Linked DNA regions of Ovis aries. The protein of the gene in region 1 binds, or shares a complex with, the protein of each later gene. Links are inferred from orthologs where the notes say so. Each region holds a gene or a part of one and is shown on either strand. Other genes may lie near its edges. The genes, in order: SMARCA5 and MYBBP1A.

Evidence for each region.
Region 2: SMARCA5 (region 1) and MYBBP1A share a complex: the UniProt entries of both Homo sapiens proteins name them as parts of the B-WICH complex. The link is inferred for Ovis aries from reciprocal best matches to the Homo sapiens genes SMARCA5 and MYBBP1A.

What each region holds. Positions count from the first base shown.
Region 1 is NC_056070.1:14,429,869-14,432,791, reverse strand, and holds part of SMARCA5 (SWI/SNF-related matrix-associated actin-dependent regulator of chromatin subfamily A member 5), read left to right. Parts: intron 1-383; exon of another isoform or gene 384-542; coding exon 543-661; exon of another isoform or gene 662-1,069; coding exon 1,070-1,282; exon of another isoform or gene 1,283-2,791; coding exon 2,792-2,923. UniProt on the Homo sapiens protein: ATPase that possesses intrinsic ATP-dependent nucleosome-remodeling activity.
Region 2 is NC_056064.1:24,912,377-24,916,965, reverse strand, and holds the start of MYBBP1A (myb-binding protein 1A), read left to right. Parts: upstream 1-1,559; 5' UTR 1,560-1,572; coding exon 1,573-1,779; intron 1,780-1,956; coding exon 1,957-2,055; intron 2,056-2,764; coding exon 2,765-2,848; intron 2,849-2,937; coding exon 2,938-3,012; intron 3,013-3,112; coding exon 3,113-3,220; intron 3,221-3,538; exon of another isoform or gene 3,539-3,615; coding exon of another isoform or gene 3,616-3,624; intron 3,625-4,162; coding exon 4,163-4,338; intron 4,339-4,490; coding exon 4,491-4,589. UniProt on the Homo sapiens protein: May activate or repress transcription via interactions with sequence specific DNA-binding proteins. Repression may be mediated at least in part by histone deacetylase activity (HDAC activity).

The DNA.
Region 1 (2,923 bases):
AGGAAAGTCCGTGAACGATGTTTTGATAAACTAAAATTTGCCACAACTTAGTATCTGTTTTGTTTTTTAAAAATTCAGTTGGAAAAGCTCCCCTTCTTTAAAATGGCATCATTAATTTTTCTTTTTTTACCCTTGTTAACTAACTGTAACCAAGAAAACAAGAATAGGTCACTGAATAATTGTGCTTTCTTTTTACTTCATTTCACTTGATAACTTTTACAAATACTATATAATTCTGTGTTTCTTGAAGTCTGTTGGGTTGACAAGTGGATATGTGTAGTTGTGCTCTGGTGATTGCTGAAAATTTCAAAAGAGCAGAGAATTAGGTGTTGGGAGATGCTTAAATCATGCCGTTCAGCTTACTTTTTTTTTTTTTTTTACAGTTAAGGAAACATAATTGTGTGACTTACTAGTATTAGATGTGGGAAGAAGGGAAACATTTCTTAATCCTTAGCAAATGAAATAGAGCATTTACAGAAACAAGTTACTTACATTTCTTCCCTTTCTCTCCCTCTCCCGTTTGCCCAATCTTACTCCCACAGCCGTGTTCTGGGAAAGATGCAATGAGCTGCAGGACATAGAAAAGATTATGGCTCAGATCGAGAGAGGAGAGGCAAGGATTCAGAGGAGAATCAGCATCAAAAAAGCACTTGACACGAAGGTACTTTGAATATTAATAAGTATTGTAATTATTAAAATAACTCCTGTAAGTATAAGAGTTAAAGTAAGGTTTTAAAAGGAAAAGAAATGAGTTAAAATTAAAAATTTCTTCAGAGAACAACACTGAAACTTCATGGGCATTTTCGACAGAATTGACCTCAGTATTTCAGTTGGTCTATGTGAGTCAGAGTCTCTGTGATTCAGCTCTGCTACATAGTACTAGAAAGTCTGAGTCTGTATTTATTTTTATAATAATAAAGACCAATTGTTTCAGAACAAAGGGGATACAATGGAAGTGCGTTGGATAAAAAATGGATATGAAATACAACATTTATAGCCAGCTTTACTAAGTTTGAAATATAGGTTCTATAGGATTTGTATTGTATAATGTGAAATCCGGTTTTCATAGATTGGACGGTACAAAGCACCTTTTCATCAGCTGAGAATATCTTACGGTACTAACAAAGGGAAAAACTACACTGAAGAGGAAGACCGCTTCCTGATCTGTATGCTTCACAAGCTTGGATTCGACAAGGAAAATGTGTATGATGAGCTGCGGCAGTGTATTCGCAACTCTCCTCAGTTCAGATTTGACTGGTTTCTAAAGTCCAGAACCGCAATGGTGAGTACTGGGGCCTTTTTGTGGACTGAAGCAAACAATTCAGACGAAGTAGATAATGTAGTATTGTTTAAGGTACCTTTTAAATTTTTATTAGGAGAAAATTTGTGTATCTTTGAAGTAAATTTTTGTTAGATTGCTGTTTGTATCAAAGGTTAAAGTAGTTCCTTAAGAAACAGTTCACCTCCACAGTTATAAACCTAATGTCATGAGTCACTTACAAAGTTTATTTTTTCCATCATTTGATAGCACTTCTGTTAATATCACTATATACAATAGGATTAGTTTTTTGTGTGAATTTTAATCAAGCTTTAAGTAGAAGAAAAAGTCGCATCAGTTTTAACTTGTGAATAAGATGATCACAATTTAAAATTTGACTTTTGCTTTTGTAAATATACACATTTTTATAAAGAAAGGACTTCTACTCATGCATCTGCCCATCAGAATACTGAATTTTCAGTTAATTAAAAAGAGCTTAGTGTGGTAAAATACTGTATTGTTTTAATGCTAGGTTCTGATCAGCAAGTTCCATTTTTATGACGTAAAATTAGAATTCAGAAAAATTTAGCTTTGATGAATTGTTCTTCCTGTATGTATTTTGCCACCTTTGAATTTTTAGCTTTATCTTGTGTTCTTCAGGATGATATTAATGCCAAAAAAAGTTCTGTAGTCTTAATTTTGAGATATACTGGGGTAGCAAAGTTTAAACAATATTATAATAAACTTTCTCTCAATATATTTAAAATATATTGTTGCTCTTCAAGATGGGGGATAGTTTACAGTCTTGTAAGTGTTTGACCACTGAAGGTATTTTTTCCTATTAAATGTCATTGGAGGCTGGTGTTTTATGAAACTCTAGGTTGGAAAATGTTGCACTATAAATGCATTATAAATATACAATGAGAGGAGACAGATTCAGGTGCTATAAGCTCTGTATTACATCTTTTAAAGCGGGAACAGTCACTTCGTAGTTAGGAAGGGAAGCAAGACGCAGTGCCACCTTGATTTACTGGTGCAGTACCAGGGCCTAAAACTGCTACTTCCTAGCGTGGTTCGTGTTAAGGCTCACATACAAAATGAGAATATGTGTGTTGCCCCTTCCCCTTGTGCTGGAACAGTTGAGGCGTGCTCTTTGTCTGTAAGCCAGGCAGATTCACACCATAGCACATCTGTAAGACGTTCTGGTGTATGTCGCTCAGTAAGTTCAGAGCTCGGATGTAGCGTACTACCTTCTCTGTATGTAGTGTTGCAGATATTTCCTGGCTGTGTCCTATATGGTAGTATGGCCTTAAATAATGAAGTGAAAGATGCACACATATCTTTTTTTAATCCCCCTGGCATGGATTGTGTATGAAAATTAGTAGGTTTTTGCTTTAAAAAACTTTAATATATTTGAGGGGGTGTAAGTGATGATATGCTATTAAAACGTACCTTTGGTTTTGAAATTGTATTCATGAAACCTTATAGATGGAGAATACAGATTTATCATGTAAAGTTGTGTTTATAACTCAGGAACTCCAGAGGAGGTGTAACACCTTAATTACCTTGATTGAAAGAGAAAATATGGAACTAGAAGAAAAGGAGAAGGCAGAGAAGAAGAAAAGAGGACCCAAACCTTCAGTGAGTACTGATGAAAGTATAAAT
Region 2 (4,589 bases), on another chromosome or scaffold:
CACTGATCTCCCTCGGCCAGGCTGGAAACAAAATAAAGATCAAGTCTCCTGGATGCCATGTGCTACTCTTGCTTCTTGGTTAATTTCACATCAGCCTTTGAGGCGTCTGGGCTCCGGCCACAGGGAACACAGGAGACTGCCACCCAGGGATGCAGAGCCAGGCTAGTGTCTTTCTGCTCCTCCCTGCTCTACTCCCCTGCCTCCCAGGGCAGCACACATACAAGGTAAACCAGTTCTCACTTTCTGAAACTGATAGAGCAAGGAAGGGGTTTGAGATGGTGAGGAGGAGGTGTCCCAAGGGGGAACAAAGGGGGCTGGAGCTGGATGTGCGGTTTCAAGGCCGGGTTGGCCCTCACCTCCCCACCTCCAAGAGGGCTGGGTTCTCTCTGAACTATAATCCTCCACAGGTTAGTTCTCAAACCAAGAAACAGGTGGCCATTAGCACTCCTGCCCCACACTGTAAAATGAATGTATCTCTGACTTACTAGAACTCAGTGCCGCCACCTCCCTCTCGCTGCTCACCCCCCAACTCCCGGACAAAGAATTCTTCCCCCAGCCCAAACGGTACCACAGTCTACCCGCTTATGTTAGCCCCAAGCCTAGCATCGGAGAAGGCAATGGCAACCCACTCCAGTACTCTTGCCTGGAAAATCCCATGGATGGAGGAGCCTGGTAGGCTGCAGTGCATGGGGTGGCTAAGGGTCGGACACCACTGAGCGACTTCACTTTCACTTTTCACTTTCACTCATTGGAGAAGGAAATGGCAACCCACTCCACTGTTCTTGCCTGGAGAATCCCAGGGACGAGGGAGCCTGGTGGGCTGCCGTCTATGGGGTCGCACAGAGTCGGACACGACTGAAGTGACTTAGCAGCAGCAGCAGCAAGCCTAGCATCCCTCTCGCTTCTGTCACCTCCCACCTGTTCCAGATTAGCTGGAATTTTCTCAGCACTTGGTTCAATCCAGCTGGTATTCCTGCTTCTACCTCTGCTCTCCTTCAATTCACCCTCCACACAGCAGCAGAATACTCTATTAAATGTGTAAATGGGGGGATTCCCTGGGGCTTCCCTGACTGTTCAGTCGGTAAAGCATCTGCCCGCGATGTTCAGTCCCCAGGTCGGGAAGATCCCCTGGAGAAGGAAATGGCAACCCACTCCAGTATTCTTGCCTGGATAATCCCGTGGACAGAGGAGCCTGGCGGGCTACAGTCCATGGGGTCGCTAACACTTCACTTCACTAGAGGTACCGTGGTTAGGACACGGCTCTCTCCCTGCGGAGGGCCGAGGTTCCATCCGTGACCCATCCCTGGTCTGGAAAATAAAATCCGACAAGGCGGGGGGCGTCGGGGCAGTTAAATAGGACCAAGGCTTGTGCCTGCATAAAACCCTCCGGTGATTTCCTATCACAATCGGAATGAACTCCGGACTCCTGAGCGCCCAGAGGAAGAGCCACACCTCCCCGTCCGCCCCGCCCCCGTGCCAGCCGGCTCCGCCCCCAGCCGACCCAATTCATTGCGCATGCGCCCCGACCTGACCTGGAAGAGGCTGTCTTCCGAGCCCACGTGTTCGACGAGCATGGCGGAGCCGGCGAGTGTGGAAGTCACCGAGCCTCTGGCTCCGGGAGAGGCCCAGAAGAGCGGCGCCCGGCCTGCCGACCGTCATGGCCTGCTCAAGCACAGCCGCGAGTTTTTGGACTTCTTCTGGGACATTGCGAAGCCGCAGCAGGAGACGCGGCTTGAGGCTACAGAGAAGCTGCTGGAATATCTGCGCGCAAAGCCGAAGGTATGGTGGCGGGGTCTGGGGCAGGAGCACCAGAGATCCTGGCTAGTAGCGGCGAGCTTGGGGTCACGTGGTCGCGAACCTGGACGACCCAAGTGAGCGCGCGCCGAGGAGCGGGCATGGGCGGGTGCCAAACGACCCTTCTCACTGGTCCACCTGGGGATGTGCTTGGTTCCTTAGGGATCTTCCGAGATGAAGTACGCCCTGAAGCGCCTAATCACTGGGCTCGGGGGTGGACGAGAAGCAGCCCGGCCCTGCTACAGTTTGGCCCTGGCACAGGTGAGGTGGTGGCCCCTGGAAGGGGTCCACCTGTGCTGGTCAGGTAGGGGAGTGAGTGAGCAGAGCAGATGTCCCAGCTGCAAGGGACGTGAGAACTGACAAGTAGGGGTAGCATCTCAGGCGAGCCGATGGGAGGTGTGCCCACGTGGATGCGGAGAAAATTGTGTAAGCAAGGCCTTTGTGCAGAGAAGCCCAGGAAGGCGGAGAGAGGGAGGTTGAGGCTGCTTTTGGGTACCTGGGTTGACCAGCCTCCGAGGTACATGTACTGGGGGTGGTAAGCTCTGGGGTGAGTTCTGTTACCTCTGCAGGGTTTAGGACCCTCTTCTCCCAAGGGGCACACAGCTAATTATAAGCCATATCTAAGGAGCCTGGACAAATGGAAGGCCTCTAGAGACCCAGTCCTTGAAGACCAGTCTAGGGAGAGCTCAGAGCTGGCTGTGGGGACAGCATGTTTGGGAAACACAGTCTAGTGGCCAAAGCACCCCAGCTACACGTGGGACAGGGAGAGAGGGGTCAGCTCCATTCACAGCTATGTTCCATCATCAGCACTGCTCAGAGGCAGGTAGGCAGCTTCAGAGGCATCCTTGGGGCGGGAGCAGGGGCCCAAGGCCTGCTCCCAAGGGCAGAAGTTGAAGAAGTAGGAAGAGATTAACGTCTGTTGGGATGTGGCAGGGCCACTCCCCCTGAGCCCCTCTCTTCCTCCTGGCAGCTGTTACAGTCTTTCGAAGACATCCCTTTGGGCAGCATCCTGCAGCAAATACAGGAGAGACATGACCTGCAGAAGGTTAAGAAGGTGAGAGTTAGCAGCCCCAGGGATATCAGCAGTCCCCAGGGTGGGAAATGCTTGGGTCCTTCTCACGGGTGCCTGGAATCCTTTTCTAGGGGATGATGAGACCTGCCCTCTTTGGAAACCTGTTTGGGGTGCTAGCCCTCTTTCAGTCAGGCAGGCTAGTGAAGGTAAGAGCTTTGAGGGTTCTGGGGGTATGTGGACTGGCTTGGAGTGGTGGGGGAGAGTGGCACGCCCCACTCATACCCTCTCTGCCTCTGGGACCACCAGGACTCAGAAGCACTGATGAAGTCAGTGAAGCTGCTGCAGGCCCTGGGCCAGCATTACAATCACCTTCAGGAACAGCCCCAGAAGGCCCTGGTGGACATCCTTTCTCAGGTATGGGCTCACCAGCTGTGGAGCCTTGGGTAACTAACGCCACCCGTCATAGAAGAGCACGGAGAAGACACAGGTTAATGCATGAAAATGCGGTACCGAAGCATAAATGTGGAACATGATGTTTTGTAGTAACTTCCCTTAAAAAGTAAGAAGGAAAAGGGATGTGCTTTAATAACATGGTTTAGTTTAATATCTAAAGTATTTTCATGTGCAGTCAGTATCAGAAAATCTATGGAGGTTTTTTACATTCTTTATCGTGGTAAGTCTCCAAAATCCAGTGTATTTTATACTCACCAGCATATCTCTGTTCAGATTAGCACATTTTACATGCTCAGTGTCCACATGTGACCAGTGGCTTCCATATTGGACCATGCATTTGTAGAACAGCGCCTGACATGTGCCCGGTGGGTTAAACATGTTTGCCATTGTTGTTTTGGGCAGAGCTGGGGTCCCCACTGCCCTACTTGGGAAGTGGAGGTGGGCTAGTACCTAGAATCCTTGCTATGGTGAAAAAGCCAGGGACTGGCACATCCCAGGCCAAGGCTTTCTGCATAACCCTGGCCACAGAGCTGGAAGGACCTGAATTCAAGTCCCAGATCTTCACTGGGGACTCCTTATAAAAAAAATGCTAGTCCTGCAAAACCCACAAGAGGAATAATTAAAAGGGTGGTCCTGGGCTAGTTAGCATCAGTGGGGTGCTTATTTATTTAAACCCAGTTTCCAAGGATTTGGGAATTTGCGCTTTTTAAGAAACCCTCTCTGGTGATTCTGTTGCCTGACAAGGTGGATTGTGACTGTCCCGTCTCAGGCTGTTGGTGTGCCGGGGCCTTGGGGGAGCCTGGGAGGTAGAATGGGGCCCAGAAAGCTCAGCTCACAGCAGGAGAGACAAAGGATGCTGTGAGGGCGCCCTCCGCACCCTCAACCTGTCTCCCCCACCGCCAGGTCCCGGAGACCGCGCTGCAGGAGATCCTGCCCAAGGTCCTCAAGCCTGACATGAATTCAGTTCTCGGCTCCCCTGAGCACCTGGAGCTCTTCCTCTTGGCCCAGCAGAAGGTGCCCAAGAAGCTGGAGAAGCTGATGGGACCGGTCAACCTGTTCTTGGACGAGAACATCCCCAGGTGTGAGGGAGGTGGGCAGGTGGGCCCTCCATCCACAGGTTTGCACCATGACCCGGGGTTGGGGGTCCATGTGGCCCCAGGCGCCTGGCCCTTGTTTGCTGGGGACTGCCCCCTGAGTCTTCTTCACCCCCACCCACCCCCGACCTCTGCAGGCTGGTGACTGTGCTGAAGACGGTGGCCAACTCTGTGAAGAAGGAACGCAAGCTGCCCACCGTGGCTCTGGACCTGCTCCGCCTGGCGCTCCAGGAGGA